Drosophila melanogaster: one gene and its partners. The protein of the gene in region 1 interacts with the protein of each later gene in a pairwise test. Each region holds a gene or a part of one and is shown in the gene's direction. Other genes may lie near its edges. The genes, in order: esn, pcs, MtnB and Gsc.

Region 1 (8,967 bases):
GTTTATTTGAGATCTATATTGTTCATCCAGATTCTAAGGACAATTTTTAACAAGTTGCAAAAAGAGTTCCTTTTTTTTCGATTTCATAATACGAGCTGGAAATCTGCTCCGTCTGCTGCTGACAGAAGTAATGGAATCGCGAGATGTTTGTCAAATTAAAAACACAAACTGGTGCCTTATTTCCCTTTGAGGGGCGTGAAAAGTCAACAGAGTGGGTGGGTGAGGAAAACGCACGTCGCATCAACTGGGGACGCATCGACTGGGAACGGAAAGCGACAGCGACAGCAACAGCAACAGCATCACGTGGCAACAACAAAGCCATAAATAACAAAGCCAAGTGTTGGGGGGGGCACTTGGGGAGGGACTTGTGGTGCGGGGTGGCGAAAGGAAGCCACTGCCAACAAGGACGACAGGTGCAGACGGGGTGGTGCTGGTGGGGTGTTTCTGGGTGATTGTGCCGTTGGAAGCGCAGCAACAGTCGCAGGGCGTTCAAAAAACAAACCAGCACTGGCCGAAAAAAATGTTACATCACTTTATAAAGTTTAAACAAAACCTTAACTTAAAGGGGATTCATTTCAATTGAGGAAAATTCAGTTAGGTTTAGCTAAAGTATTAAGCCTAGTAGCAGTCTAGTGATATTTAAGATAATCTTTTAAATAATCTCTGATGTTATATATACTTTGCAGTTATTAAAATATATTTATGGGTTTGTACGATTTCATTTAATTTTAAATTGAGTGAATATTTTGATAAAATTTTCTTCTGTTTAGTCAAATATAGGGGAGTGACAGAACAGGATTGGAAGGAGTAAGGGAACAGAGCTTATGCAAGAAAATATTTACAATCAAGTCGATTAACAAAAGGAAACCTTGTGACGCGCACTTTGAGTTTTTCCTTGTTGTTTCCGAGCCCCGCTTTCTTCGTTTTTTTCCACTCTCCCCCAGAGGTTCGGGTGGTTTTCCTCCGACCGGCTTGGTTTTTGTGTTTTTGCGTTTTTAATTAAAAATCAGTAGACTCACGTAGTCGCTGGCTCTGCGGAGCCTCTTCAGTCGCCGACTGTCATCAGCGCCATTTGGCAAATCAACGTAATCATTGCTCCTCCCAGCTACCCGTTGTTTTCGCCACCCCTGAGCAACAATATTTTTCATAAATACGACGGAGGCAGCACTTGAGATCTTTTGCCACATTTCCCCGCCAGCGACAACAATTCATAAGCGACGTCATCATTAGGGAAACATTTGCCGCCTACACACTCCTGCCACACGAGTGTGTGAATTGTGGCGACTCCCGCTGATTCCTGCCTGCCTTTCCAGCCCAACTCCCCATCAAACATCCTGGCCCAGTGCTTATTGTCTTAAGAGGAAGTCAGACGAGGGGCAGGAGGAGCAGGAGGAGGCACAGCCGCCGAGATTGGCAAGCGGATTGGGGCTACGCACCTCGCTTTTCATTGAAAAGACTCCCTGTTGGTGGTTTTTATGCCATGGCGGAAGCAACCAGAGAATCGCAAGAGGATGCACACTGTGGTTCCACCTTGAATAGTACAAAAATGCTAACAAAATTAACGGTAACTTTAAGTTATTTGATTGAATGTAGTGTTAGTGTAAAGTTATTCTGTTCAATGCGCAATTCGTAGATGCGAAATTTTAATTAATTTTAAGTCATAAAAACCATAGGAATATTGATGAAAGCTTACTAAACCATTCGAAGATTGTCTTATTAGAACAGTTCATATTTAAATGAATTTACTAAATATTTAGTTATTCTTACAACAATATATATTGAATTTTGAAGAAAACTCCAACCTCAAGAACATAATTGTGAAATATGAAATATATGCTAGAAACGAAGTATATTCTATGCCAGCGTAAATATCACAAGCACATATCTATATAAATAAATACATAGTAGACTTTTGTTTGGAATATACATATAATTTTTAACATTGTGGGGCTTAAGTACCACCTTGGTTCACCGATTTGCCCCACTGTGCCTTCACTGTTCAGCGAGCAATTGCAGCTTTACTTTTTGCGCGTTCTATGCCCATCTATGCCCATCCGCCCCTTTTGAAGTGCTTTCGCCCTGCCTTTCTCTTTGCCACTGCCTTTGCCCACTCGCTTGTGTGTTTTATATATATTTTGCAATTTTTCACTTTACGACTTTCACATTGTTTATGCAAATAGGCGAAAATGCTATTTGAATTTAGTAGAAGAGAATTATGATAACGCGATTGTCAACGGCAACCCTGATTTTATTTTATTTCCTTATATTTTTGTTACCATTTTCCCGTTGTCTTTGCCGCTGAGATACAGTTATGATTATGACAGGCACCATGTTGTTTGGGGCAAGTGAAAAAAATATTAATAAAACACTACACAGCCACCCCTCCACAGCTACACACCCCCCACCCCACGCGACACGTGCGACAAGCCGCACAACAGTCGGTGTTATTGCCCCGTTGCTGCCTTTTTTACAAAGTGTAAATTGTTTTAATACTTTTTAGTGCCACGCAGCGCCATCTTGTGTCGCGTAGTGGCGGCAGCTGCGCCAAACAGCCACGCCCCTCCTCCGACCATCGCCCACCGCCCACCGCCCGGGGCAACTTTTGACTTACACGTGTACGTTGCACGTTCAAATCTCAACTTTTACGACCTCTGCAGGATATTATCGTCGTTGTTTTACTAGCGTCACTTTCGGGCTTGTTGTTTTTTGCGCTCCTGCTGCAATGACGTTGACTTTAACCTGTTGGCCATGGCCAAAGTGGGAAAAGGGCTACACTTGGAAAAATTATCCCCACTTTTCACTTCTTTACAGTATTCAGTCAGGAGTATTCATATTGTCATTTAAATCAAGCAGAACATCCTTCTTTAAGATGTGGTCGGGAAATGTAGTGAATCTAATTCAGAAGTTAGTTTTATAGTTGAATGGAGCTTAAAGGCATTGTCTATCGACCATACAACCAATGATTGATTACTAACGATAATGATAATACAATCACCTTGAGCATCTAATGTTCTCAGTGCACCAATTTTCACCTGCTGCTGGCATCTGACAACTGCTTTCGCTGACATTTCTCCAGTTGGAGACCGTGTGTCTCGGTTTTAATCAAAATTGTTTCATGAATTGTTCAGTTGTTCCAACTGTCAAATAAAGTTTTGACGCCCCTCTTTTCGGAAAACTCCGGGCAATTAAAATACTTTTGGCAGTCACTTGCTTATTTCGTTTGCCTTCAGCCGCTTCATGTTGGCTGTTCTCTTCTGGCCTGGTCCTCAATTAGTTGGGCCATTTCGCCCATCACTCTTTGAGTGTCGAAAGAGAGTGCAAATATTTAACGTTAAATGGGGAAATTAATTTATTTACTTTCGTCTTTCATTGCAGTTGGTGAAACAATTTGTTAAAACGCAAACTTCGCAATGGCAATTCGTTTGGGAGAGTTTTGAAGGTAAGTTAAAAATTCAATTGAATCCTTTAGCTTGTAGTAAAGGTCACTAATTTTAAATTATTTCTGGTTGTTAGTAGCCAGAGAAGAAAGTATAATTGCAAAGTGTGAGAAGTTAGCGGCTCTAATTAATTCATCGAGAGAGACACTTTATATAGCGACTCAAAATAATTCAACGAAAGACACATTTTATATTGTGCAAATAATTTTCATAGCATTTTTATATCCGAGATAGTTAGTGGAATGCCTCGGAAGTGAAACTGGTCTTTGATCTATTAAGTCGATTATCAAAATCACCACATAACTTTAAACTAAAAACCATTTTGAAGAATACTTATCCCAAATATCAACAGGACATAATTGCACTGGCTAGTAAATTCTAGCTCAGCCTCAATTGCAATGAATCAGTAGCTGCGTGTTAATTGAATAATATGTGAAATCGGTGTCGACTCCATTACCGTCCGTGTGCTGCCACAAGAAGAGAGTCCCGTGCAGCATAGGGAAGCCACAAACCCTAATTTCCAATGATTGGTTTGTTCCCTCGTCCACGTTCCATCCGCCCGTCTTCATTTCCATTCCGGGGCAAACGGATGGATTTCATGAGAGGGGCCTTACCCGATTACCACATTTTCACCAAGCCCGCAGTCTAATGACCACCTATGAGTGCGCTGCTAATGTGGTAACACAACGCCCAAGGGACGCTGGCCGTGGTCTTCCCTTGTTGGCCGTGATTGAAATGGGTCAATCGCTAAACGGCCTGAAATGTGTCAAATGGCCCGAAGACAGCTGCATCAACCAGTTGCAGCTACCAGAATCTGCCTCTTCAATAGCTGGCTAATAAACGCCACCACATTCTGGCTCGAATCCGAAGCACTCAACCGAAAGCCACTCGACTCACCTGTGCCACCTGTTTTACCTGCACTTGCTTGGGCCACAAGAGCGAGCGAGAGATATATAGATGAGAGAAAGAGAGCTGTGGTGAGTTGGCTGGATCGTCTTGGTGGTGAGTTTGACCTGCACCAACCTGGCCAAAAGCCGCCTTTCGGCCAACAGCTACTTTCTACAATCTTCAGTTGTTTGAGCAGCCCCAAAGCGAGCGGTGCGAGTGCTGTTCTTTCGCGAACCAGGAATTCAGATAGAATCCCAGCCGATACGTATCAATCCGATCGCGAGTGCACGTAATTGGAGCAAGCGGATCGCCCGTTAATTGCTGGCGACGGTAATTGCAGGCCGCCGCATACCTGCCAACTGCTTAAGGTGTTCCCCGTTCGTTAATGTGTCAATTGATTGATTGGCCCGCGACCCGTGATTGACGTGCGTTCCACTCACCGCGATGCTCTCGAAGAAGCGCTGGTGGAAGATCCGGCTGCCGCAGGTGGGCAAGCAGGATCAGTCGAGGAACTACCGGGACATCGTCAACCTGAGCGAGTGCTCCTCAGTGCTGGCCAACACGGCCACCACGATTAGCGACAGCTCCACCACCACCGCCAGCAGCGGCAGTCCCACCCGCCACCGGAGCTGCGACAGTCTCTCCAAGAGCTCCCAGGCGGAGGCGGGCAAGCTGTTCCCCCGGAACATGCCCAGCATACGGCGGAGTCGCCGACGGGCTGTGTCCGCGGAAAGGGAGCGCCTGGCCAGCCGGGAGCGGCTGGAGGAGCAGGTTCAGCCGCCGAAAATGCCGCAGATAGGAGCTGGACAGCAGTCCCGGCTATCGACGGTGACCAAACTGACGCCCAGGAAGCAGAGTAGCAAGTCCACGTGCTCCAAACATCGGGGCAACGCCCCTGCGAAGTGCATCATCAAGTCGGCAGTGCGAACCAAGACCAAGCCAAAGGCCACCACGATCACCCTAGCACCCTACGAAATAGCGCTGGAGCTGCCCAACGAATCCCCTGCACCCACTTTGGCCATGGCCGTGGCCCAATCCTCCGGCTGCGTGCAGAGGAAGCTGAGCAGCGAGGATCAGTTCCACTCCTCGGGAATCTCCTGCAACGGGGAGACCGACGATGACGTGGAGGTGGCCATGCTGACCGGCAGCTTAACGCCCTCCCAGATAGCAAGGATCCAGGGGCAGCAGATCCTCCGATATGACGATCTGAGGAACCTGAACCGCTGCCGCAACAGGAACGCCGTTTGGCTAAATCCCAAGGATACGGAGCAGCTCCTCGAGGTGGACAAGAGCAGGAGGAAGGCCAACTGCTACTTCAACCAGGCCATTGCCGACGATATCCAGCTCAGCGATATTGAAGAACAATTGGCCAGATTTGATGGCCACTCAAAGAGGCCGCCACCGCCGGCAGCCACAGCACCCAAAATGTGAGTTTCCACCGGCTATCTCTAATGGCCATAACTCTCGGCGATAAGTGGGCGAGGGAAAGCGGAGTTGTCGGCGGGAATGTGGCCAACTAATTTGAAATCCATTTGATGAGCTTTGCATTTCCCAATTTAAGTGACTATAAAACGGGCGTCGCAGTAGAGAGTTTACGGCCCAATTTGATGGCTGCTTAATAGCTTCATATGAGCCGTGCTCCGTGCTCCGAGTTGAGGAGCAGTTGGGTTCTGGAGGATTCTATTCCTAACCACTGGAATCATACTTTATGGTTCTTCAAATTAAACTGGCTATTCGAAGTTATAGGCAAGGCAGATCGCATTAAAATGGGCTGGCACACTGACAGCTTTATAGATTTCCGACTTACGTTGAGTTAATACTCGTTATATTGAAAATGGCCGCTTTCGTGTTTGGTAATTTAATACCTTTTAGCTGCCGTTGAAAATGTGGGTCTGCAACTTTCTACCAATGTTGTTTTTACAACTATTGAAAGAGAAGTACGAAGGCCAAACAATTTACCGAATTTACCGACTACAATTGCAATTGTTTAAAAGGTAATAAACCAATGGACACGATTGTTGTTTTTGGCCCTTGGGTTTATAGCCCATTTGAAGTTTGCAATGTTAATATGGAATTAATCCCGTGATCTTTTTTTCTGTTGTCATTTTTGTCACCATCGCCATTTCTTTCCCTTATTAGATTTCATATTGTTTAGGATAAATTAATTTCTTCAGAACTTCTTAAGGAATCCAGAACGATAAGGCATACCTCTTTGGCGGCTCATAAATAGAGCGGAGTTTATCATTTTCACCTGATCAACAGCCGTTGTTGGCTACGCGTATCAGTTTCAATTGCGCTGAGAGTACAAATCCTACAGGTCACCCTCGAATAATGGCACAAATAATCCGCCATAAGAGGCTCTGTCAGCTGGAGGCGACTTTGTGGGCTCGCTAAGAAGGTGTTATTAATGCCCGACTATTTGCAAAACTGGCACCGGAAAGTTATTTATCAACTTTCTGGCCAGCACGTGCTCCTTCCTTCGCCTCGCTGTCGAGTTTTGTTAACTGCAAAATGAATTGCATGCAGCTAAGTGGCAACAGCAGCGGTTAAACGAGGCTGGCAGAACTTCGGGTCCACTGAGCCCATCCTCACGAGGTCCTTCTCCTCCGATCGCCCGTCACCTTGTGTTTGCATCCTGCAGCCTCATAAATTCCATCCGACGACTTCATAAATTGAGTTCTTTTTGCCGCCTGACTGAGTGCCCTTCATCGAAAAGGTATTCTGTATCTTTCAGATCTTTCAGATCTTTCAGGTCCTCGGCATCTTTGCCATTTCTGCCATCTCTTCCATCTTTTGTATTCTCTGCATTCCGCATGCAGACTTCATTTGCATGGACTTCTGTTCATAAATCTACGCAAACTGTTAATTAGATTTTGTTTTGGGTGAAGCCATAAAATATTGGTGGAAGGAGTGCGCCATCAATTTCCCTTAAACAGAACTTTGTAATTTGAGACGCACATCCACCTCCAGTTCCACCTCCAGTTCCACATCCATATGCACATCCTCTCGAGCCATTCGCAATCAGCGGGGCTATTACATTCGCAGTTTAAATAAACCAAACCCAATATTGACTGGCGGCTACTTAAAGCGTAATTAAGCGCCTGGCCGGCCGAACACTTTGCATAGGAATCTCAACAATAAAGTAAATAAGTTGGGACCGCCGGCGGCCCTCTTTTGCCAGCCTGGCTAATTGAAGTTGGCCAGAAGCGAGGGGCTAGTCCGCGTCCATGGACCACCCGAGTGGTTCACTCCGGACTTATCGGTTTACGATTTGCTGTGATTTAAAAATGAGCTACGCATTTGATTTTAATTGCATTCGATGTGCGCAGTAGTTGCGAGTGGATTCGAGTGGAATGGAATGGAGTTGGAGCGAAAGCCTTTTGGCCGTGATATATGGCATTTTAATTGAAATGGCAAAAGGCCGACAATCGTGTAGGGAAGAGGCATGGTCGTGAGGGGCGGGAGCTTAATCTGACTTTAACTGATTCGCGGACACATCAAGTAACGCCCCTTCGGTGCTCAGCGCTTCAGTGAAGTGGATCTGATTTTCTTTGGCCTTTCTTCTTCTTTCTACATATTTTCAAATTATTTTTTCGCTGGGCGTTCGGGCAATTTCTCTGGCTGTCAGCGAACGAAGCCAATCAAAACCACAACTTGTTCTCCAGAAGATTCAACCCCCTATTATAGTGACACACACATTATAGTGTGACACAATCCCAGGGCCAAATGTTTTATAAGCCATCTTTGTCTTAAAGTGGCTGGGAAGTCAGAACTCGCGTTTTATTGATTCAACACCTAATCGAGAATCCATAAAACGCATTAACAAAACACAAGATTTACAAGTGAATGGAGAAGAAGACAGAAGAGTTGATTGATTTCGCCTCGAGTTGGGGGAAACTCAATTTATAATCTCGAAGTGGCGGGTCAAAGGAGGGGAGGGATGGAGGGTTAAGTATTTTGCAAAGCAGAAATGTGTTTATGAAATAAAATCGAAAACCGCAAAATAAAATTAGCCAAACAAGCCGTGGGCCAAAGGGGAAAGGGGAAAGGGAGGGAGGAGCTGGCTAAATTGAAGGGCGTTTCTTTGCAAGCTCATTATATTTCCTGTTCTGCCGCCCGATTATGATTATCTTTTCTCCTTGGATGCCCTGTGCGGTACATATGCTACATATGTACAATTCCGAGGAGCTCCGTATCAGGATGGAGTCAATTTAGTGGCAATAAGTCAGAGGTTGCTGATTGGGAGCGTGTGTAAGCCAAGTAAAGTGTTCTAGCCACGATCGGGAGTCGGGCACTTCGATAACCAGTTTGGCGCATTGTTGCGTTTAATTTTCGTAATTTACGTTTAATTGAAATCGGCGGAGAGCACAGGCCGTGTAATTAATTTAATGGCCATCGCTTTGTTGGCCAAATACAGGTGGGAAGCGAACCTGAAGCCCGTTTTGTGCCGTCATGCCCCTTTACAAATCGTTACCAAATTGTGGCAACTTGGGTCTGGACCTGGACAATTACCAAATGGCATTGCCGAGATCTCCAGTCGCCCACACACCGCATTGATTTCCATGGGAGCTCTAAAAATACAAACTTTAGAAATTGCCATCAATCAGACGGCGGTGGCCTAATGAGAACCAAATGCAAATCG
Region 2 (8,848 bases), 7.9 Mb from region 1:
GATAATGACGTCTCAATTCGAATCTCCCCTCGCATTTCCAGGGATCCATAGAGGAATGGCTGCAGCTGCTGCGTCTGGAGGAGTATATACAGCCCCTGCTGGAGCAGAACTATAAGACGGTGCGCGACGTAACCCAAGTGACTTGGGAGGATCTCGAGGACATTGGCATTGTCAAGCTGGGCCACCAAAAGAAAATTCTGCTGGCCATCAAGCGTGTGAAGGACATAATTAGCGGAAAGTGGAACCCAGGCGGCGCCAATGCCTACCAACAGCAGGTGAGAAGTGGGTGAAAATACAAGGGATTTAGGAAGAAACAACAAGGGTTTTTTAAATTTTACATTACTGCAAACTTCAATCTAAAGCATTTGTTGTATTTTTTCTTTAGTCTTAATTTAATTTGATTTTAATTTACCACTAACTTTCGTTTCGTTTCTATTTTGTTCATTTGTTTTGTATGATTTCCCCTCGTCGGAATGTTGACCAAACAGGAGTACCAGCGGAAGCCCTGGCAATTCAATGTGCCCATACCCAGTACGCCATCCTATGTGCCAACCACCCGCGTCTCGTGGGACGACACGAAAATCTACGCGACCAGCAGTGTCTTGAATTCCACTGCCCCATCCGGGAGCAGCTGCCTCAATAGCAGCCTTGCCAACGGAGATGCCTACTACTGCACGGGCAGTAACCATGAGTGCTGCTCGGGCAACGATGTGGTGCTCATTAAGGTGGGCACTTGGTTTTCCACAGTTAAAAAGCGTAGCAGCCCGTTGGCCTTGAACTTTTTAAGTGCCCTCTGACATTTTAGCCACGAACTAGCTTTTGCATCGCGAACATCGTTACTTAACAAATATCAAATTAAGTTTAATACCCTTCATTAATATTGCTTTGCAAAAAATATTTTTATTTTCATATTATTATTTCTGTTGTTGAGAATTTTTTTCTCGTTGATTTCCAATTAACTTAGAAGAAAACTGGCCTCATTAATTTCAAAAAGTTGCACCTCCTAACGAGCCTCTTATCCTTTTCTGCAGGTTCGCCAGCCGCGCGGCAAGAGCCTGGAATCTTTGGAGGACATCCACGACAACAGCACGCGCAGCCATCTGACCTTCAGCCATTACACAACCACGGACTACGGCCACTTTGGGCCGCCGACAACAGCGGCGGCTGCAGCGGCAATGGCCGCAGCGGCCACACTGCAGCAGCAGCATCATCACCAGCAGCTGCTCCACCAGCAACAGCAGCAGGCAGCTGCCGCCCGTCTCCTGGGCAACAATGCGCCTGGCATTGGATGGCGGCGATCCTACGACGACGGCGACATCACACCCACCAACGATGCCACGAGGGAGCTGCTCTACGAGCAGGAGGGCGGCGGAACTCTGCCACGCCAGCAGCGTGGCATCCTGCAGCGGGCGGTGTTGAACACCATGCCGCCACTGGAGCACCATCACTACATGAATGCAGCGGCTGCGGCGGAGTACGGTGCGGCCAGCGGTGTGGAGGGTGGAGCGGTAAGTTGGGGTTCCACGAATCCTTAGAACACTTATCTGTGGTTGCCATAGTTGGTTATAATAGAAGGGACACCAAAGTGGCAACTGTGGATTTTAAACTGTTCTTACTAAGAGCTATCTTCTATTACAGAATTACATGGGCGGCAGTCCTTTGACGGGCAAGAAAATAGCTCCTGAGCCACCTAGACGCCACTGCAGCATACGCAACTCCCGCACGCTGAGCGGAGAGGGAGTGCCGTCGGGAGCGGCTGCGCAGGCGCATCAGCAGGCAGCCCAACAGCAGCAGGGCCAGCACATGTTCTACGGCCACACGGCGCAGCACTGGCAGCAGCAGCAGCAGCAGGCGGGTGCAGGTACTGGTCAGCAGCCGATCTACGCCAACTATGCCACCATACAACAGACAACGGCGGAGATACACTGTGAGAAGTATCACGACAGTAAGTCGACTTCCAGCATCGATTCGATTGACACGATACCATTTGCCAACGAGAACACTGGGACGATAAAACAGCGGCTGCTCAACCGCCAGGAGCTGCAGGGCGGCGGAGCGGGCAACAACAATGTACCCGGCGGCGGCCATCCCGCACACCTGCACTCCTCCAGCTCGAGCTCCAGCTCCTCCTCCACGAACACCATCGCGAATATAGCGCACTCGTTCCATTCGTTGAAATCTTCCAGTTCGCTGCACGATGCCACATTGGCGCGGAGTGAAAGCATGGGCAGCACAGCCAGCGGTGGAAGTGCCTTGCACCTGCGTTCACCCACATTGGATATGTCAAATGCCGGTGGATCAACGGCGGAGCCTGCAAGTTCGCCAGAAGCAGCCGTACCAACTGTGGCCATAAACAACGGCGTTCCGCCCAAAGTTTCGGTGAACGTTCTGAACGACATTGGCAATATGCTGGCCAATCTCACGGACGAGCTGGACGCCATGCTGGAGGAGGAGAAGCGAGTGGGCCTAAACATAGACAGTGAATAAATCTCCAATCAAACAACAAATCGTAGTGTAGCTGAATTTAGAAGTTGTGGTGTATCTTGTAATGTTTTATGTACTTCAACTTAGTTAAGTTCAATTTGTTTTTGTATTTCTTATTCCAATTGCGTGTGGAGAAGCATTTATATTGGATCGTATTCTGTATCATTTCGATATGCACACTGTGTAGTAAAAAGCAACTACAACTGAAAAGCTTTGGACAAACCATGTATACTTTTGTACTTTTCCTAAACTCTCCTCCCATTCCCGAAACTATGAGTGTTAACAATACAAAATGAAAATAACCAAGTAAAAGAATGGTAAATGAAGCGCAACATGCATATATGCAGAACTTGCATAGTTATTATATAGCATAAAATATATATAATTCGATATATAAATAAATATTTAAACGAAATCATTTATATGGACAAGTATTTAGTGGTTTGATACTATACGACAGAGGAGGAATCAACAAATAAACCACACGGCACACTCTTAAACAAACACAATGAAAGTCAGGCAAGAACTACTATTTAAAGATCCCATTCAGACAATTTCAAATTGTATTATTCTAGAATTTTGTACCTTAGTTCTTTGTTCATTTTTTTCAAATCACGCTGCACAGAAATGTTTCTTTTTGTTATGATTACAACTAAAATCAAACTATATGAAATGAATGTATAATTAAGTGTTATTCCATACAAAGTAAAAAGATGCATTATATAAAATATAAATCTTATATTAGCGTTAAATTAAGAAATCAAAAATAAAAGAAGGAAACGAATCCATCTTTATAAATTATGTTTAATCGGGCATTGATGCTGAATAACGTATGAAATTCCGTGGTATACAACTGAATTGCCTTCTTCTTTATAATTTACATAAATAAAAATCTTTTAGTGAAAATTTTGTTTTTTGAGAGTATTTTCGGTTTTCTGTTAATTGCGCTCAGTTAAAAATATGTTTGGTGCGCATATCATTAGAGGAAATTGGAGTATTCGATTTATAAACGCATATAAGGAAAAGTAAACAAATTAAATACGAAAAAATCACAAACATGTAAAGCACATAAAGGGCAAAACAAAAATGATGAAAACAAATAACAAATAAAGTAAACTTTCATAGTAAAATGTTTCTGGTTTTAATGCATATTTTGTTACTTAGTCAGACCTATTTATTTATATTTCATTAATACGTATTTAGCAACTTTAACAAAAATCCTTTTTGAAACAAAATTTTTTTAATTATTCATAACGTTACGAAGTGAATCAACTACGTAACGTGATGTGATGGTTATGTAGATGAGGCATATGACGTAATGGTAAGAGAAAATACCAAGCCCGCCAAGAGTAATTTTGAAGACTAATATGTTAACTTAGCATTTTTTTAAATATAAATTGTTACATTATCAAACTGGTGCAATGAAAATCAAACATTTTTTTAATTGTTTATTTTTCTTGAAAATAGTTGGCAACAATGCCAGCGTTGTAATGAAATATACCAATACAATAAAAATACCAAATGTTTATTTCAGCAACTGCTGGTCAGCATTTCACTATCTGGTAACACCGCGCTGCGGTCACACCGAATTCAGCTTCTCATTTCGTCGCGTCTGGACGCGTCTTTAATTTTTAGGATAGTTTAGCCTTTATAAGCGAGTTAATTAAATATCTTAGATGCCCCGAGCGAAGGAGAAGGTGAAAAGCCGCGTGCCCTGTCCACTTGTACCGTTCGTCTTGTTCACACTTAATGTAATCGCCATGTGTCCCTTTCCCTTTTCGCTTTTAACTTCGTTGTGAAACATAAGACGCAAAATGAAATATTTGTTTTAATACTGCTGCTGTACCCGCATAGCAAATTGCCAGTTAAAATTGCCAACACCAATTTACATAATATTATAGAAAAAAACACAGAAAAAAAAAAGAAAAACAAAACACACAAGCAAATTGATAGTCGTGGGATGTGTCTGTGTAGCAACGAGATCAAATAGTGAAATGCAAAAGCGTTTTTCAATTGAAAAGCGGGCTGCAGAAAAGTGAAAATTAACGCGTTTAGCGATATATTTGCATTTGGAACGAATTCAGTGAAAACCAGTAAAAATGTCGAGTGCAGAAGACGGCGAGCTGGATCCCCAAATTCAGGTGATTTTCCTTCGGCAATTTGCCTGCTGTCCTTCCTATTTTCTCCCCCTCTCTCTCTCATTGTATGCCTCTCTCTTTCGTACCTGGCACTGAATGGAACGGTATTTTAATGACAATAACAATATTCAGGCTGCTTTGTTTTTGGTTTGCTTGCTAGTTCTCTCTATCACCTGCTCTTCTTTGCAGTGCAGTTTTTGTTGGTACAGTGCATACCCGATTCGGTGAATTGTGAAGACCGAGGGTATCCACTGTACCAAAGTGATAAATGTGCACCTAGATTTTCATACAAAAATATGTTTACAACTTACAAGCAAAAAACATAGAGCACTGTATTTTGGAAATAGGAAACAGGCGTTTTTGCATTGCATTTCGTTACTCATTTATTGCGTGAACCTTTTTTACGCTTTGTTGGTTTTCAAAAACGATACAACAGCAAAAACCAACACAGAAAATCAATTTACGAGCCATTTAAGCAAATTGCAAGTTTCCTTTTCCGACGAACTATTCAATATGCATTGTAAAACCGAAAACAATACAAAGTGCAGGAAAAAAGGGATCACAAAGGGTGTCAAATAATCCCACGCACTTCCAAGTAAACTGGTTTTTTTTTTCTTTTTACCCGCAACGGATTTGAACTCGGTACCTAAATGAGATTCAAGTGCAACTTGGTTATTGCTCTTTATCTTTCGCCCCTTCTTCTTTGCTCATCTCTTCGCATTTTTGGGAGAGAGGAGGAGGTATGCATACAAATTTAATAAATGGAAATACCAAAGCGCACACGCAAGCCAAAGCAGCAACAACAAAAAACAAACACGCCTTTGTTTCTATTTCGAGTATTTTATATATTATTGTGTAAGCCAGACAATTGAAAAGTGTCTTGAAGCGCAAGTCGCAGTTTTTGCATAAATCAAGATTCATATGCTGCTCATTCAACTGCGCAAAATAGTCGCACACTCGCCTAATAGCCTTAAATGGGCAGGAAATAATACGAGTCTGTAAAAATAAAAACTCAAATCGGATGAGTATAGTGAAAAACACAATGTTTCCAAACCGTGATCAATAGGAGAATATATTTATGTATATGAGTATATAAGTATAAAATGGTTATTCAAGTTAAAAACACCTTTATCCAGGGCGATCAATCGAATGGTACGTCCATTGTGAGAATACCCCCTACATAGACAAAGGAAAATCCCGGTGTAGACCTACAATAATTCCTATTTTTAAATGCAAAACTTAGTGGGAGAGACGCCACACGCGGCGCAAAGTCATTAACAACAATTTGATTTCGAACCCAGAAGACAGACGGCATGTGACTAGATTGGATTCGTCGATAATGTCCGAAAGTACATATGTATAGGTATGGGAAAATGTGTAGGAGATATTCACTTTGTCTATAAACAATCTTTAGTGCGGCTCTATAAACCAAATACAAAACTGTACCGAAACCGGTTAAGAATTCTACGAAAAACCGCATGCTACATTATACAAAAAAACGCGAAATATTTTGCTCCGCCTATTTTTGCCTTCTTTCTCAATGTTTTTATGCTCGACTTCCTCTTTCGACAAGTCGACTTTGTTGTTTTTTTGCCTTCGATTTGCCAATGATTTATCAATGAGCATTTGGCGTTCTTCTTTTTTTTTTATTTTGCGCGTGCAAAATTTCTTATCTAAAGAGATGTTTTCAAGTTGATGACGCCAAACAATAGACAAAGAATAGGCACCGCGTCGATGTCGCAAAGTCTATTTAACCAAAAACGTGTGTCCTAACAGATGTTTTTTGTAAACAATTCCACACGCGTCAGTTAACTTAAAAATATGGTCATTTGCGTGCTACGGATTTGTTTTTCGAGCCCCAAACTTTCTAATCTCATACCAATCCACATCAAAGCGTCACTTATCGATTAGATGATAATTGCTTTATTAAAAAAACAAAGGGGCCTTTTTTTACGATAGAAATTAGTGAGAAAAGCTTTGTAGCAATTTAAAAATAAATTAGTAGCCTTGCCCCATTTGATAATTAGATTAGCAAGGGAAACTTTATGTGCAGGTGAATTTGATAAAAAATTATAAATGACTAATGAAGTCGGCTATCTCTGGTCTCAGTTACGTAAGCAAGGTGAGAGTACGGGTATCGCGAATTAGAGAACTCGATCCAGGCGTCTATGAATCAGAAAATCGTGTCCGAAAAGTGAGTCAACGTCTACTCTATATATGTAAAAATATACCGTAAAGGTGTCTCCCAAAAGTGTATATGATATTCTTTATGCTTATCTTTTATTGCGAATACGAACTTGTGCTTATATCGCAAGATTATTTATGTGCATACAATACAAAGTTCATAACCAGTCCCGATAAAAACTGCATTTAATACTACATAGCACTCTTCATATTTGATGAATAAGTTTGCTCTCATTTATTTATTATTGAGTTTACTTTTTATTTTGTTTGCGCTTCCAAAACAATTACAACTTTCTCTGATCAAAAAAAAAAAAATCTCAAGTGGCAGCGGTGGGATTCGAACCCACGCCTCCGAGGAGACTGGTGCCTTAAACCAGCGCCTTAGACCGCTCGGCCACGCTACCCATAATCATCGCTGGTCATAAGCGCTTCTGATCGCAAGTGCTATATTTATATTTACCATTTTTATAGCAAAAATAACAAAAACAATTGTAGGAAACAATAATAAATACTTAAAAAGCAGCTGGGATTGCACTTTCATAAACAAACTGTCTCTTTCAGAAGGTTTATTTTCTCAATTAACTGGAGGTTTTGTAACCTTTTGGTCGAGTGCAATCCCCCGGGTTTCCTTAACCATCAGTATCATCACCAATTATCATCATCATCATTATCATTATAGTCGATGGCGCACAACACAGTTGCTACTTTCGAAGAGCGGTTACCGCACTCAATTTTCCATGCATTTTCAGCCTTAATGAATTCAGTTTGGATCGGCTTTGTTTTGGTCGTCGGAATTGTTAATGACATTCAATGATTGCGCTTGTTTATGTAGTTGAACTTAGGCAGTCATTTCCTGCTTTATCAAATCAGCAGAGATACGATTTTCAGAGGCAATCTTATCAGTCATGAACTTGTACTTGCATTAACAACTATTAGATTTCTATAGACTCAAAATGAGTTTGGTTGACCTTTGATCTGAATTGCTTGGTCATAAAGAGAAAGTCGAGAATTTGAGTTAGCATAGCAATTGAAAATAATTTGTTCAAAGTGGGTCAGGCACACGAGAGTTCCACACAAAAAAAAAAAAAACATCATATTCAACACAGAAGTTTATCGTTTTATACGAAGTTGACATAACTCTAATTAAAAAAGCAAAAACTTTATGCGGTCAATTGCAATTGTCAAGCTACGTTGACTTAATTTTCGGGTCGTCAGACATTCACTCACGCATCGCCGTTGAGTTTTCTTTTATATAACCATCTTTTTGACCTACCAGCCAAGACTTTCTCAGCAGTTCCACTTTGGTTAGTTTTCCCCTTGGCTTGCGGTTTTTTACATACAATTGTCGCATTATTTTCGGCCGATGACGTCTATTTCCGCTTGAGTTGAATGTCCTACGAGTTCCTGAGGCTTCCTTCTTTTTTTTTTTTTGTTGTTGCGCAAGTCAAGTCGATGTGGGTTTGCATTACAGCTCCTCCATTGCGATTATGCCCAAGTCTGGCCAGGAAAGTGGGGTGGTTCTGGCAGGAGCTGGGGACAAAGCTGTCACCAGCAGATGTAGGTCAGGTCGACCTATTCGGCATCACGCCACCGGCACAAAGGGCAGCTGGCGTCATTGCGGAACTGGCGGAACTGCGAGCGGAACAGGAGGGAGTGTCGTGGCCAAATGGGTGTCCAAAGTAGGGAGTATATTGTGGAAAGTGGCTGGGACAAGCGAATAAGCTTATCCTGGGATATCTAATAATGAGCTTGGCTGCTTTTCATTTTCCTAAGTAATTTAACAATATTTATTTATCTATCAACGCAAATATCTATATATTTCCTAATCTAATTTAGTTATGTCTATTTATGAGCGCTGTTTGCTGAAGACTTACGCCTGTTACTAGCCAAACAATCGCCATCCTCGAATTTCCAAAGAGTGGGCGGCGCCCTCATGTCTGACGAATTGTTTTGGATCCTAACGAGCCGCACTCACGTCATCTTCTTGTTAGCAGTTGCCTAGAGAAGCGACGCTCCTGGCTATAACCTTTCGCATTTGATTG
Region 3 (6,843 bases), on another chromosome or scaffold:
TACACCTTCCAGCTCTATGGGTGCGGTGACGGGACTTAAGGTCTTCAAGGTGAAGCAGGGATTGATGGTCTTTTGCGGATTGACCTTTAAATTCCATATATTACAAGTATTACAAGTCGTTTTTTATGACTGATCCGCAAAGTATGCAAAGTATTCTGTCGCGGGAACGTTAATGTTCTTTTCATGGGGACTTTATGTCACAGCCTTAAAGCATGTATTAATTAATAACTTTTACCCTCTATAACATCTGTAAAGTGTTAACAGAACAGATCTTTTTTATGACAATTTAAGATTTGTTTTATTAATTTTATGAATTTTTATATATTTTTCACATTAAATAACTTGATTTGTTGTGGTTTTTTTTAGGATAGAATACTGTTTTTTCTTAAAGATCACAAGTTGTTATCTTGTTATATAACATTATGTGTACTTATGTATTTGTATTTTGCAAACGAATTCAGTATCTTATTTTGCAAATATGTATTTTTCGTATTCGATGGATTGCTATCAATATTCCGATGTACCTATGCACATACATATATATGTATCTAATCTTCCCTTAACCATAATATGTGGTGCGGAGCAGTGCAAAAAACTGATACGACATGCTGATTACCTTCATAAAGGTATTAAAAGATATGGGTGGAAAGGTAGGCGGTCTTATAGAGGCGGGCTTCTGGCTGCGCGCGATAATAAATTGCAGGATGCGTTTGTATTTGGTGCTGCATGGCAACCAGTTCTGATTAAATGCCGAATGGCCAATCCGAGAGCTCTGAAATGTACATTTCTTGTTAATACTAGACCGAAAACAAGAAAAATTAATAAAAATTAAACTCACTGAAGATATCATTTCATCGCCGTAGTAACAGACCACAAAGACTTGAACCAGCGAAGCTGAAAAAAATATGAAGTACAACACTATGTCCTCCACATTTGAGGCTGTAATCTGAAAGCCAGCGAAGCAAATCACGAGCGATGCGGCAATAAAGTTCCACAGGATCAGGAAGCTGAATATGTTGTTGACCTCCTCGCTGAGGCTGAAAAGTGTATTATAAGAAAAACATGTAGTAGTTTAGTTCTTATCCTTAATTTGGATGAATTGAGAGATATATATAATATATAACCGTCAAACTTACTCCAGCGCCCTGGCATGATAGACGACCAAGTTGTGCAGGTATTTGATATTTTCTTCATCCGTATGATCACCTCCTTCGTAGGCCTCCAAATCATTCGCTATAAAGTTGAAGTGCATGGTCAGCTGGGTTATGGTCGCGATCAGCAGGAGATCCACGCAGACGTAGGAAACTCCGGCCACATAGGCACAATGAGCCAATCCCCAGTAGGAAAACCAGTAGACCGTCAGATCCGTTTCTGCGTCGTAGGGAAACAAAATGTGAAATCCGTAGTTGCGCTCAAAGATTTCCGATCCCATAAGGTAATACTTTATGGTCGACTTGATGGCTGGATAAAAGCTAAATGACGAGGTGTAGGTCATGCAGAGGATGGTGAATAGGGTCATGACCCTGTTCATGTGTTTCCGGTAAAACGATACGTTATACTTCCGCTGCGCTTCTAAATCTAAAGGAAATATCTCCTTGAGATCATCCAGCAATCTGACCAATCGCTTTCTATTCACTGTGAGACCGAACTGCTTAAAGTCGGCCATGAAGCTGAAGCCAATGCACGGTGCCACTGCAGTGGCCTCCAAAAGAGTAGTCGTCGACATTATATGGACTATAAAGTACGCGATTTCGCCCACCACATAGGCATTGAAGTTGAGAAAACCGAGTACCAGATAAAAACGTAGCAGGTAACGCCTTATCACATTCGGATCCCTATCGGAGTACAGATCCTCGCCGATGGTCTTGTAGAAAGTCATCGGAAACCGGGTAAGTTCGTCGAAGGTGATGACTTCATCGTCACTTTTTGGCTTACGTTTGCGGAACAGCATGATTCAGCTGTTTGATCGGCTGACAGAATAAGTCTTAGGTTTATATAGCTCCCATCAAAAGTGTCCCATTAAATTCGCATGAGACACCCTTCGCTGACCTCATAATTACTTAATTTAATTTGGGGTAACGGAACACCTGCCACTTGACTTTCTAAAATATTGAGTTCTACAGGAATGTTCCCAGGACTACACGGAGAAAAATCGAAGGACACTTTGGGGACGAGAGGATATTCATGCAATTTGTGGTAAGGAACTGAAGTCATACTCTAACTGAACGGTGCTGGCTGGTCAAGTTATATATGTTTATGTGATGTTAAATATAAACCTTGTGGTCAACACAAGCACAAGAATCAATTATATATTCATTATACTCGTTAAAGATATTTTTTTTTTAAGGTAAGGTAAATAAAATGGTAAAAAAGTAAAGGTAAAAAAACTAGCCGAGTTAGAGACTGCAGGAAACTTATCTAAGTCGTTCTTTTGTTGCAGGTACACCTAGCAAAAAAAAAAACAACTAAGTCAGGCCTATTTCTATATTTGTTCTCGAAAACTTTTTTTTTACTAAAAGTCATAAATATATATAAAGTTGTTCCGGGTGTTTGGTTTTCCGTGCAACGAACTGTTTTCGTAGCTCCCGCAGAGCTTATAGTTTTTGCCTAATTTGCAGCGCGTTTTTTCCTCTATTAATTTTTAGTTAGCTTTCCACATGTGATATTTTTATGGCATTTACGCTGGGTTTTTTTTGAAAAGAGTTTAGTCGTAAAGCGTTTTTGCAGCCAATATGAGCATTTAAATTTGTTTTACTACAGGAAAGTCTTTTATTTATTGTGAAAAACCCCGCTGGGTAGCTGCCTGCGCTTTTCATGCTTTTTATTGTGTGCTTCTGGGCTGTGGGCTGAGTCACGATACGCGGCGTATACGCAACGTATACGCAACGTGGGCAGCTGATAAGCTGATGAGGAGTTCGTGTGCACCGAGTTGGCGAGCAATCGCGTGCGCAAAAAGAATTGCCTGGCCTATCGTCTGATAAATTGCGAACCACTCGCCCCAGACTTGCACACGACGTGATAAGTTGGGTCAAACAAACAAATTTGTTTTGGATTTGTGCAATTTTGCACTCGTTCGAGTTCGAGGCAATCGAAGTGGGTATAAAAGTGGGGGAGTTGCCGGACTGGGTCATCAGTTGAATAGCCAAGCAACAAGCAAACAAGTGAATATCAGTTCGCCTCAGCCAAGTGAAAGTCGAGAAATAGATACATACAAGATGGTTTGCAAGGGTTGTGGAACAAGTAAGTGGTACAACGCAGCAGCAAGCTGTATAATTGACAATCGTTCTCGATTCCTCGACAGACTGCCAGTGCTCGGCCCAAAAGTGCGGGGACAACTGCGCCTGCAACAAGGATTGCCAGTGCGTTTGCAAGAATGGGCCCAAGGACCAGTGCTGCAGCAACAAATAAGCGGGCCAACTATATAACTAACTGTTTAACTTCTAAACTGGAGCTTAACTCCCAACGAGTTGGCCGCAATAAATAAAGTTTATAAAGATTTTGAGCATTTAAAAGTTTCTGCCGTTAACTTTTTGTTACTGGGCGGTCGGTCATCTTACCAAGCGATAATTATATTTTCGGCTTTTGGCAGCTAAAACCAATTATGGTAAAATAATAAACGTGAGCTGGCATTCAGTTAAGCAAACCGCAAAATAGAATTACATGAAAAATAAGCAAACGCAATGCGACAATTTGGGCGGGATTTGCAAATATTTGTATGTTCGCGGACAGCTGCACCGGAATTAAAATCCAATCCATCAGCCGTGATTTTGGTAGAAAACTCACCGAAAGTCCATTGAATTGTGCGCAAAACGGAACATAAATCGAAATAACATTCAATTTTCGTGGCCATCGAACTGAAACCAAATTATTTAGCCGCTTTTATCTGCGACTGAACTTTGCCCATATGCCAATGGCCGAAATTGCAACCCACTTTGTTTTGAATATAAAATGTATTTCGCTTTTGAGGCAATTTCTCAAAAATGTTGTGCCGATTTTATTGCATTTTCAAAAAATACATATATATTCTGCTCTACTAGCAGCAAATTCCTCCAGCGTTATGTTGGGTTTAATAGTCTGCCAATGGAATAGATACGTTTTGTATCGGCCAAATAATAACTTTCTGGCCAAGTTTTATTTATTTAATAGCCTGCTACTGCTACCCATTTCACACACTTTTGTTTAAAGAGCGGTCGAGCTTTCCATTCGAGTGGCTAGGCCTGAGTTTCCAACTGTCAAAACCAAATGACCAATTAAAATACAGGCACTTGTGGACAATTTCAAGCGTCCGTTTCCGGTGCTTGAGCTGTCAAAATATTTATGAAACAACAGTGGTTCAGATCCATTAGCATAATCAGAGGTGCGTGATTGAGGCGTTTCCCAAAGACCTTTGTTGCGTGCTCAGGTCGTTTTGTTTTCTTCCATTTTGCTTTGCTCCCTGCCCGGATGTAAAGTAGCAGTCTTTTGGCAAATCAGGTGTAAATAATGTGACAGGGAAACGCTCTTGTAATGACTACCTAGGACCTATACTCCACACAAAAATTCCAACAAAGAGTATGTTAATTACCATTTTTAAAATTAGCAATGAAAGTTTTCACAATAATAATAAAATATATTTATATATAAATGAATATGAATATAAAAAGTATTTGTGTATGATTTCCATGACAACTGCTATGATGAAAAGCGGTTTGTATTATTATTAATAATAACAAGTTATTACCCTTGCATTTGGTGTCAAAGTTGAACTTCATTAAGTTTCATATATAGAAAATACAATTACGAACGGGACAAGGAGTTTTAAAATGGAGCTCGGAATCTTGGAAAATGGGCAAGACGAATCGATCAGCTTAGTTGAGACAGGTGAGGTGGCAGACCCACAAATAATACGTTTTGTTTTAGTATAATGATTTCAGGTAATAAGGATAAGCCTAAAGGAGCTGCTTGGATAATAATTATGGTGATACTACTAAATGCATGCTTGATTGCTCTGGCTTTTCCATTATATCTGTATCTGAATTCTGTAGACGAAGTGGTCAAAAAACGCTTGATGGATTATTGCATTGTTGGTGGAGGCCTTATAGGAATTCCGATGTTGTACAGATTAGGAGTGAGTGAAATAAAACGTAAATAATGCAATTATGATGCTAATTATGATAATGTAGGATCTATCGAAGGGACGACCAAATTTCTACTACATTTAAATAATTCATTTGGTTACCATGATGCACTATGATTTGAAAGTAAATTCTAAATTTTTGTGTCTTAATATTTAAAGTCACCAATCATGCTTTCCTTGCCTTTAAACTCGTCAGTCGTTAGATCAACCCCGCACTTTCATTTACATATACATTATACTCACATTTAACAAACAACACACAAGTAGATCCGTAGTAATAAATTAAGGGTAAGAAGTTAGCAAATAGAAAACACAAAATGTCGCTCAGAAGGGGTGGATTGATGTCCTACAACCAGCGGCGTATTGCCCGCTGGTACTTTGGAGGTCTGGCGAGCTCCATGGCTGCCATGGTGACTCATCCGATTGACTTGATCAAGGTGCTTATCCAAACTCAGGCGGAGAAGCTATCGGTATTCCAGACCACCCGCAAGATTGTCAAGGAACAGGGACCTCTGGCCATGTACAATGGCATCTCGGCCTCAATGCTGCGCCAATACACGTACACATTGGCCCGTTTTGGCATTTATTCGGTGGGCTCTGGAGCTATGGACACCAGCACCATGGCCGGCAAAACATGTCTAGCCGCGATTGCCGGTGGAATTGGCGGGTTTGTGGGCGCTCCTGCAGATCTGATCAACGTCCGCCTGCAGAACGATGTCAAGTTGCCACCAGAGAAGAGGCGCAAGTAAGATTTAAAAATATTTATATCGTGATGGAAGTGTTTCCGACCATTTAAAGTATTCTTGAGCAAGTCTTGTCCGATTGTCCTTCCGTTTGTCCGTATAAACTTAAACTTTTAATTTCTTATTTTATTTTATTATTTTTTGTCCAATTTCCATCGATGTGCTAAAAAACAATCGAGGAACTTGACTATAGTGTTCGCTCTTGTTTTATATATATTTATAGCCCAAAGACATATTTCAAAATCACTTAAAACGCGCTTTAAAGTTATTGAAATGGATGTACGTTATTTTACGAGTTCGATTAATTTTTTTTTTGCAGCTATAAGCACGCCATAGACGGACTGGTGCGAATCACCCGCGAAGAGGGATGGAAAAATCTCTTCAATGGCTCCTCGATGATCGCGCTCCGTGGAGCTTTTATGACCGTAGGCCAGATTGCGTTCTACGAGCAAAGCAAGTCCCAAATGATAAAATTGGGAATGCCCGATTATATGGGCACCTACATCTTAGCATCAATGATCTCCTCCGTGGTGGCCACCACCTTGACGCAGCCCATCGATGTGGTGAAGACACGTCGCATGAATGCAGCACCTGGCGAGTATTCTGGATTGGGGGATGTGTTTGTAAAGACTTCGAAGGAGGGACCTCTGGCTTTCTTCAAGGGATACGTTCCCTCTTTGAGTCGATTATTGCCGCACACGGTATTATTATTCTTGGGCCTCGAGTATCTGAGGACTCACTTTGGATATCTACCAGAGCCAAAACAGACAGGTGCATTTTATCGATATGATGATGTCGATGACTAAACGATTTGCGTTATTTTCAAAATTTCTAGCTTTGCTATTACGTGACCATTCATTACATCGCATGTCTGAAAATAAAATACACATATAATAAGCACGGCTTTAGTTCATTTGTATGTGATAAAAGAAGGTAAAATACTTGAAAGATTTCTTGAAATGTATTTTTAAATCTCACAAATTG
Region 4 (8,713 bases), on another chromosome or scaffold:
CTTTGTGTACCTCTGGGATCCGCTGAAAAACCTTCGACCGGATCAACTGCGCGACGTATAAAACGATATTTGGATTAAACGTTTAATTGACTGCTGAGCAAAACCGGTGTGACCATATAGAGACATATCCAGGGGTTGCTGCTGCTGGCGGGGATTAGAGCCCGATTCCGATGTCGAAGCTTCATTACCATATCAATGTCGGCAGCAGGCGACTCAGCCTCAATCGCAAATCCTCAGCACGGGATTTGGCTGCTGAATCCGAAGAATCTGATTCCGATTCTGGTGCGGATTCTGCTGCTGATTTCGATTTGGCTTCTCGAGGAAATTCGCTTAAATTTTTAACAAGACAAATACGCAAAGCACACGCCCCTCCCCCGTCTATTTTCCATCTCTCCCGGTTTTACCGCTTCTGGGAAACAATCATGGAGAAAGGGAGAGAGAGAAAGAGAGAGAGCAGGGAAAACTTTTCTAATTTTGCACAACTGGAAAATGTGGCCGTGGGCGTTCAAAGAGAAATGGCAACAGAAAATCGAAATAAAAATCATCATCATCGGGAGGGAGCCAAGAAAAAGTTGAAGATGATGATGGTTTTTTCCACATTGTTTTTCCCGCTTTTTCTCCGGCGCTCAAATGGAAAAGTAGAAAAACCTTTTATTCCACAATGTTTGCTTAGTCCTTTGCCAATTGAACTTTTTCGCACAGCCAATCGAAGGGGTAGTGGTACTCAGCCAAATACAATACTTAGACAAGTTAATTTAATTTTTTATTTAAAATTCAATCTGCGAACTAAAACAAAAAGTGCACAGCAAGTGGGGAAAGAATTCAGGTCAGAGGTCAGAGTAGGTAGAAAAGGCAACAAAAAGTTTCATGTGAAAAAACAAGTTGAACAAATTCTGTGAGGAAAATAATAGAAAAAAGTGCGTCACATCTTTTGAGCTTAGCGAGAAGCGCACTCCCAGAGCTTCCTCCTCTTTTTCCATTCTCAACTCAATATTTCCTTTACATTTACAACATCGTCATCATCGGTTTTCCCGTCGGGAGTTGTTGGCCATGTAAGAAGTTCAGTGTAAAGGCAAATAGCGAAGCCCAGAGAAAACTGGGCGGCAGGATCCACTAAGAATCGGAGGGGAAAGAGGACCAGAAATATCCTGGTCCTGCGGTCCTTGGCCTGCTTAATTATTCAATAATTTCTAAAAGCATTTGGCCACATGCGACGTCATCAGCCGTCATCCTTTCATCCTTTTACGGCATGTGACAGGACCGCCCCTCTTCTTCCGTGCGCCCCCGTAATCAGTTGAACACATATACCCCCAACACACACTAAAACATCTGCATTTATGTAAGCCTCCCTCCCTGGACCCCTCCTCTTTGTCCATCTTAGTACACAGAGCGATTTGGGTGCCCTTTAAATACTTTCTTATTATTTAAAGATATTTCGAAACCACCCAATTTAGTAGTCAGTGTTGATTGATAATTTATCAGGAACGCCTCGTCTTCCATGATTCTCCTAGCAGAATTAAGTTTAGTTAGTATGTAAAGATGGACCTTACTTGGGAATTATTTCTCCAAGTGATCCCCATTTTTCACCCCCACATAGGTGACATTGTAAGGACTTTTCGGTTCATTTGCTTTTCCTGGCTGGATTTCCATTTGTGATTGTGGGTGTGGTTTGCAGAGTTGCATTTATCATTAGTCGTAGCTTAGCTTTTGTTTTCCTGCATTCGAGTGGACGAGGAGGGGGGGCATATCTAGGGAACGAACCCTGGCGGCCATTGGGGATTTTGCACTTGGGCATGTTTGATGTGGAAACTTTAGATTAAAATATTTTCCTATGCACACACACGAGGTGAAACAATAGCGACGAGGGTCACCAAAGTGCCGTAGATTATTGAATGAGCGCTCCCAGTCTCCCTCCAGTGTAAGCTTCATCTTTATGTACGAGTAGTAGCGTGCTTCTTTCTACATAAAACGTTCACCCCTTAACCCTTTTCAAGCTCCCAACGTCTGCAAGAATGATGATAAAGATAAAGCTCAGAAAGGGAGAAAGAGCAAGAGCAGCGCTTCTCCGTGGGCGGATTGAGCGCATAATGATGTTTATGTGTTGCCAGAAACATAAAAGCATTAATTTAGTCATTATCTTCTTAAGATACGGCGCCAGCAGAGGCAGTGGAGTATCAGAATCCCCTGAACGCGAGAAGAGAGCGTCAGGCTTTTTGCCACCCATAATTTCCATCAGCATTTTTATGCTACCCCTGCTACTCACTCTGAGTGAAAGCGAGAGAGCTTCTGTTGCCATATCCTGCGCACCCGCTTCCCTTCTCTATCGCTCCCTCGACAGCTATCTCTTTCTGTGGGGGCCGCGGGGTCTGTCAGTGATGACTTTATCTGTATAAATAACTGTCAGTGGCCAAAGAAAGTAAGTAGAGAGCGCAAAAATACAAAAAAATACATGGAAGCATTGGTGTGAATTGGGTGGAAAAGGAGGGGTCTGGTGAATGGGGCATTATCTCTGTAGCGCCATCTTTATCCTGGACCTCCTGCCAGCCTTTAACCTGGAACACTGCAAGATGGGGGCCCGACACCATCAACCACCACCAGCTAGAGCGAGAGAAAGAGATACAGAGGGAAAGCAAAAAAGGGAGGGAGGATACAGAGAGAGGGAGAGGCGTCCAAAGCCAGAGAGTATTGCCAAGCAATATGGTAGCGTTGAGGGCGTGGCTTCACCCCGATTTCATTGGCCAACGTCGAAAAATGTCCGCTAAACGAGAGAGCAGATGTGAGTTTGTATCTGGCATCTGAGAGTCTGTATCTATATCTGTCGAGGAACTGGCCTAACGACTACTCAATCGACAACTTGTCGGGCGGAACGCTCTCACAACACTTTCGCAGCTCGAGCGGACAAGAAGGGTTCCCGGTGGCAGAAAACCTGTGGAAATAATAAAATATAAAATCACGACGCGATTGCAGTGCGTGTTTCTAGTGCGGTTTAGTGAACTTGGCATCGATCAAAACACACTAATCCAGTGAAAAAAACCTAGACTTAATATTCGCAACATTGCCACCATTACTGAATTAAAAAAAATTGTAAAGCGCTTAGTGCTTCAAAAGTGCCGCTTCATTAAAAAAAAATCAGTGGGGAAGAGACTTTTTCCTACTCGAAAGCTTCATAGACTTCTTCAAGATTCTCTCCTCACTGTGGACCCCTGGAGGAGGCGGTGGAGGCACCACCACCACCACTCCCAGCACCACGCCCGACATTCCGCCCTCGAAGGCCAAGTTCAAGATCACCGTCGTGAGCACGCCCAGCCCCTCCCCGCCGCCTACGCCCCCTCCGGCTGGATCTATGCTGGCACAAATGGTAGAGACAAATTCCCCGCCGGCGGGTTACACCCTCAAAAGGTCGCCCAGCGATCTCGGCGAGCAGCAGCAGCCTCCAAGGCAGATCTCGCGATCTCCTGGCAACACGGCCGCCTATCACCTGACCACCGCCATGCTCCTGAACTCGCAGCAATGCGGCTACTTGGGCCAGCGATTGCAGTCGGTCCTCCAGCAGCAGCACGCCCAACACCAGCAGTCCCAAAGTCAAACTCCGTCCTCCGATGATGGCAGCCAGTCAGGTGTCACCATTCTGGAAGAGGAGAGAAGAGGAGGAGCCGCCGCCGCGTCTCTCTTCACTATCGACAGCATTTTGGGCTCTCGCCAACAGGGTGGAGGCACCGCTCCAAGCCAAGGCAGCCACATCAGCAGCAATGGCAACCAAAATGGACTCACCTCGAATGGCATCAGTTTGGGTCTGAAAAGAAGTGGCGCCGAGTCCCCAGCCTCGCCAAATTCAAACTCCAGTTCTAGCGCAGCCGCCAGTCCCATCCGACCGCAGAGGGTTCCTGCCATGCTGCAGCATCCTGGCCTGCATCTGGGTCACTTGGCGGCTGCAGCGGCGAGCGGTTTTGCCGCCTCTCCCTCGGATTTTTTGGGTAAGTCTATCAATCCCCCTATACTGAACGCACAAGCCCCCTCAGCTGAATTTCATTATGAAGACAACTTAAGACGAAACCAGTTCAAAGGATGGTTCTTTAGATAAAGAAATTTTAACATTTTGAAATACCTTATTTCATGCATCTAAACTCTGAAATCACCTTAAGGCAGCTCACTCATGCAGTCAGGAATCACCCATTCAGCCACTCACCCACTTTTATCCTGACATCCTCATCCTCTCCCACTCAACCGAACCACACCCATTCCGAAGCGAGTCCTGAATGGCATTATTCATAATTAGGCAATGATCCGTGAAAGATGATTCCGCATTTCCTCTCCATTTTCCTTCGATTTTGCGGTGAGAGGATTTGCATTGGGCTCTAAGTCTTAGCTTGGGCCGGAAAAACCAGGGAAATCCGGGATGCTGGGGTGGCTTTAAGATGGGCTCAGGCCTTGTGTTGATTCGAGCGTGGATCTCAGGCGCAGATTTATGCAGAATACCGCTTAAATTCATTCAAAGGCTCCCCCGCAGGACATGAATATTAAAAACCTGGTCGCAACTTTTTTCCCCAGCTTGCTGCAACCGGAAACGGAAGCCACACATACGTTTACAGATGGGGTCAAAGGAATAGATCCGTTTTTGCAATATGTTATCCATATATCATTGTAATATTCTTCGTAACGATATTTACATGTTTTCCAAGTACAACATATGCTGAAGAGGGTAAATAGTTTTACATTTTACTTGAACTGATACCATTTTTGTGTCTACTGTAAGCCAAAATGGCGGCAGTTTTATTTTGCGCGGTTCGTTATGCGCATTTTTAAGGATTTACCCAGGAATATTCCACTTACACCCATTCCCGTGGCCCTCTTTTCTCCAGTTATATGATGATGATATGACTGTTATTCCAACCAGGGAATAATGAATTTTCCTTTTGTTTTCCCTACAGTGGCGTACCCCAACTTCTATCCAAACTACATGCACGCTGCTGCGGTGGCGCATGTGGCCGCTGCTCAGATGCAGGCACATGTGAGTGGAGCAGCCGCTGGATTGTCGGGTCACGGGCACCATCCGCACCACCCCCATGGGCACCCCCACCATCCACATCTGGGCGCACACCACCACGGACAGCACCACCTCAGCCATCTGGGTCATGGACCTCCGCCGAAGAGGAAGCGTCGCCATCGCACCATCTTCACGGAGGAGCAGTTGGAGCAACTGGAGGCCACCTTCGACAAAACACACTACCCAGATGTGGTGCTCCGGGAGCAACTTGCCCTCAAGGTGGATCTCAAAGAAGAACGAGTTGAGGTGAGTTTAAAGCTTCTAATTTTTAATGCCGAAGAAGGTGTAAAAAAGGGGGCAAGACTAAGTTTAAAGCATAACTTTATAGACATTTAAAGTAATTTTTTTAAGGCCGCTTTGTCACCACAAAAAAACAATCAATGCCTGGCTTTAGCTTTTGATCACTGTGTTCTTCCTAGCAGCCGCCCACACTCTGTGTTTAACATTTGGCTCTAATTTCACGCTCGTTTTAATTCCCCGCGTGAAACCAATTGAGTGCTACACCCCCGCTCCTCTACACTCCACTTAACCAGAATCAGATTCCGAATCCGAATCTCTGGCATCTGCATCGCAATCTCTATTCTCTCCAGCGAGATTCTCCCTCTGAGAACTTCTACTTGTTTATTTAGTTGTCAGCGGCGTACATTTTGAGGGGCTTCTTCGCCGGCGAAAGCAAAACAATGCCAATCCCAATGATTCACTTAATTTGGGTAATGGGACTCGGGATACAACCGCATGTTTAAACGGATGGTGAGGGTTATTTGCTCGTCGGTGGTTGCCACTGCTGAATCGTATCATTGGTAATGTAAATATGCAGGGATTCCGCCTTCTGCGCCCTTGTAAATCCCACCCCGGGGGATGAACCATCCCTTTAACATCGGCAATTGTGATTCAAAGTCCATTAGTGTCGAGGAAACCCAACAACAAACAAACAAATTGAGAGGTCACCAAGGAAGAAAGTGACGACAAAAGTTGACAATTTAATTTGTTCACATTTTTGGTGCATTGATGGGTGGCTATTTCGCGTCTTTGATGAGGATTATCCACGCTTTCCGGGCTACGGGCCCCGGGTTCCGGGCCCCCTTAGTTTTCGTTTCCCTGGCAATATGTTTGTCAACCGGTCAAATGTTTAATCTAACCCATCCAACCCCATCTCACCCTCACCTTTCGCAGCGCAGGAAGGCGGACAAGTGCGACATTTGTTGACACTCGAAGGGTTTGGGCTTATGTTTAGCCGTGAGCCTAAGACAACTTACACATTAACATTACTAACCATTTAGGATAATGAGAGGCGTGGCGTTACTCAACCCGCAGGCGAATTGACGCCCGCTTTTTGATTAGGCGACAAATTTAACCCGCGGCGAGCATTGGAATCCAAAGCGGATTAGAATGCAGGTTGTAAGTTGTAAGTTGCGAGGTTGTTAGGCGGGAGGAGTTCTACAATAGGATAAGCAAATGAAAAGCCGAGGTGGGGAAGATTTTCCAGCTCTTCAACTAATTGGAATTCAGCGGACTCGAATCTGCTGGCTCACGGGGGCGACTAATTAACATACAACACACAAAAAGAGACTTCAAACTTGTCTCTGACAAGCAAAGTGGATGAGGAAAGAGACGGCAGCAATCGCAATCCCAATCCCCAAGCAAATCTTGTGCTCAGTCATCGCTCGTCATTGACTTAAGCAGCATAATCAACTTCAGGTCTGGCTTCCAACTCGGAACCCCGGCTTTTGTGACTGCTACTGTTTAGCATATTTGCATGCCAAGAGTTGCCACTCGAGGCCTCCGAGCCCCCCGATTTCGGGACCGTCTCTCTAAGACCCCAGCCGCTCCATAAGTGGCAATAATTATTGAAAATCTTGCCTAAGACAAACAGCAGCAATAACAAAAGAGAAAACAAATGAAAAAAGCGAACAAATTCGAAGCCTACACATCCGATGCTCTAACGGAAAAGAGTCCGTTCGGTCGATGATCAATTGGGTACCAAAGGCTACCCATTTACACACCAAAAGCCAAACATGGCAACTAAGTTACGTCTATTAGTTAGGCTTGGATATAGTCTAGATATAGCTAAGTGCATACCAAAAGTACCAGAAAACAAACACCAGAGCTCCGGACCAACGTCTCGTAACTATTCAGTTCCCATCCTGGGATCGTTCGGCATTTAAATGATCTGCTTATTTTGACTTCATAATTTACAATTATTATTTTTATTTAGCCACTCGAGGCGAGGGTCGGCCGGCTTGGGATCGAGCCGGATTGGATCGGATTGGTTTGTATGGGATTGGAACGCCAAACAGTAGCTCTACCTGTAGAGCAAACAAGCCCGTTCTCTTTGTCCGCCTGCCTCTCTTTTTTCGCCTTGGCTTCTGTGGTGCGTGCAAGTCAAATACGCCTAATCCCGCAGCTCAAGTGATCGAGGTGATTTCGTTCTCCGATCAGCCAGATATGGAGGGATATATGTAGCTTGGGATGTAGAGGAGGAATGGCTGGGCTGGAGGGCATTTCAAATATTTGTCTTCGGTCGTCGCCAAGAAATTAGTAATCATCAGCTTGGCATAATTTGTGCTCCTCTCTCCTTTCGATCGCTCAACTCCACAAATATTGATGTTACCCCTTCTCAGACTTATAGAGAGAGTGGAGAACCGAGAAGAATGTGCCCACTCATCACTCCCATCACTCCATTGTGAACTGATCTCTGTTGTGTCTGCTGTCTGCTGTTTTCTCTCACTGTCGTTTTGTTTTGGCCAGGAATTGAAAATTGAAAAGGGCTTGTCACCCTACTGCCTCCTTTCTTTCGAGGATCATCCGGAATCTCAAGCGTTGCCGCTTTGAAGTTGCACAATTGAGAGGCCTCAGCCTCAAAAGGGATCGGGTTTTTTTCTACTTCGGGCCCACCTGCGTTGGCAATTAACTAAAATATGGCTTCTGTATTATAACTATTATTGTTATTGTTGTCTCTCCTTAGACACAATAAACACGTCTCTCCCCCCTCGCCTTTGCTTGTTTAGCCTCGAAATTGAACTAAAAATGGCAATGAGCTGGAATCAGCAGATTTCCGTTAATTTAACCCGAGGTCACAAACCACCCACCACCCACCATCCACCATCACCACCACCCACTGGGTGAGCCACTCAACAACCTTTCCGCCCACAAATCTCACACCCCACACTCGCCGTAAATGCTGTTGTTATAATTTTTCATAATTTTCCATTATTCAAACACTTGAGTCTCGGGATGCGAAATTTCAGTTATCCCCCGAGAATTCTCGGGCAGCAAAGTGCGTTTATGTCCGCGAGCCATGGAAAATGGAAAGATTGGAGGGGCGGGCTTTTTCCAAGGGGAACAGACGCTTTTCCCATGTTTGCTTTACAGTTTTGGCTGTCGAAGCGTGTAACCGTAGACAAATATTATCGCTGGGGGAGGAAATTGCCCCCAAAGCTGCATAAATTTACACAAAAAACGCAGTGGGTGGTGAAAGGTGGCGCGACAGGTGCACTTCTCACTAAGCTCTTAAAAGGTCGTCCGCGTCGGCGATTAGTAATAAAAAAAAATTAATTTTATAAATAGGTTACATTGAAAAAGCGTTTTGAGGGTAAAAATACATTAATTTTAATACGGCCAAATGACAGACTGTATGTTAACACCATTTTGATGTCTTATTCAGGGAAA

What was found.
Region 2: the proteins of esn (region 1) and pcs interact in a two-hybrid assay, tested with the Drosophila melanogaster proteins (one large-scale study listed by BioGRID).
Region 3: the proteins of esn (region 1) and MtnB interact in a two-hybrid assay, tested with the Drosophila melanogaster proteins (one large-scale study listed by BioGRID).
Region 4: the proteins of esn (region 1) and Gsc interact in a two-hybrid assay, tested with the Drosophila melanogaster proteins (one large-scale study listed by BioGRID).

The regions. Positions count from the first base shown.
Region 1 is NT_033778.4:7,102,173-7,111,139, forward strand, and holds the start of esn (espinas), read left to right. Parts: upstream 1-4,507; 5' UTR 4,508-4,769; coding exon 4,770-5,752; intron 5,753-8,967.
Region 2 is NT_033778.4:14,977,199-14,986,046, forward strand, and holds the start of pcs (parcas), read left to right. Parts: upstream 1-4,064; 5' UTR 4,065-4,583; coding exon 4,584-4,625; intron 4,626-7,128; exon of another isoform or gene 7,129-7,210; intron 7,211-8,848. Other genes in the region: ckn (caskin), read left to right, coding at 42-275, 489-725, 1,032-1,508, 1,639-2,487.
Region 3 is NT_033777.3:20,499,903-20,506,745, reverse strand, and holds MtnB (metallothionein B), read left to right. Parts: upstream 1-3,127; 5' UTR 3,128-3,215; coding exon 3,216-3,240; intron 3,241-3,301; coding exon 3,302-3,408; 3' UTR 3,409-3,644; downstream 3,645-6,843. Other genes in the region: Or92a (odorant receptor 92a), read right to left, coding at 560-772, 839-1,037, 1,137-1,951; CG46441 (uncharacterized protein), read left to right, coding at 4,803-4,860, 4,914-5,107, 5,163-5,201; Dic2 (dicarboxylate carrier 2), read left to right, coding at 5,434-5,861, 6,179-6,665. UniProt on the Drosophila melanogaster protein: This protein binds cations of several transition elements. Thought to be involved in metal ion homeostasis.
Region 4 is NT_033779.5:588,849-597,561, reverse strand, and holds the start of Gsc (goosecoid), read left to right. Parts: upstream 1-2,876; 5' UTR 2,877-3,181; coding exon of another isoform or gene 3,182-3,355; coding exon 3,356-3,974; intron 3,975-4,928; coding exon 4,929-5,290; intron 5,291-8,713.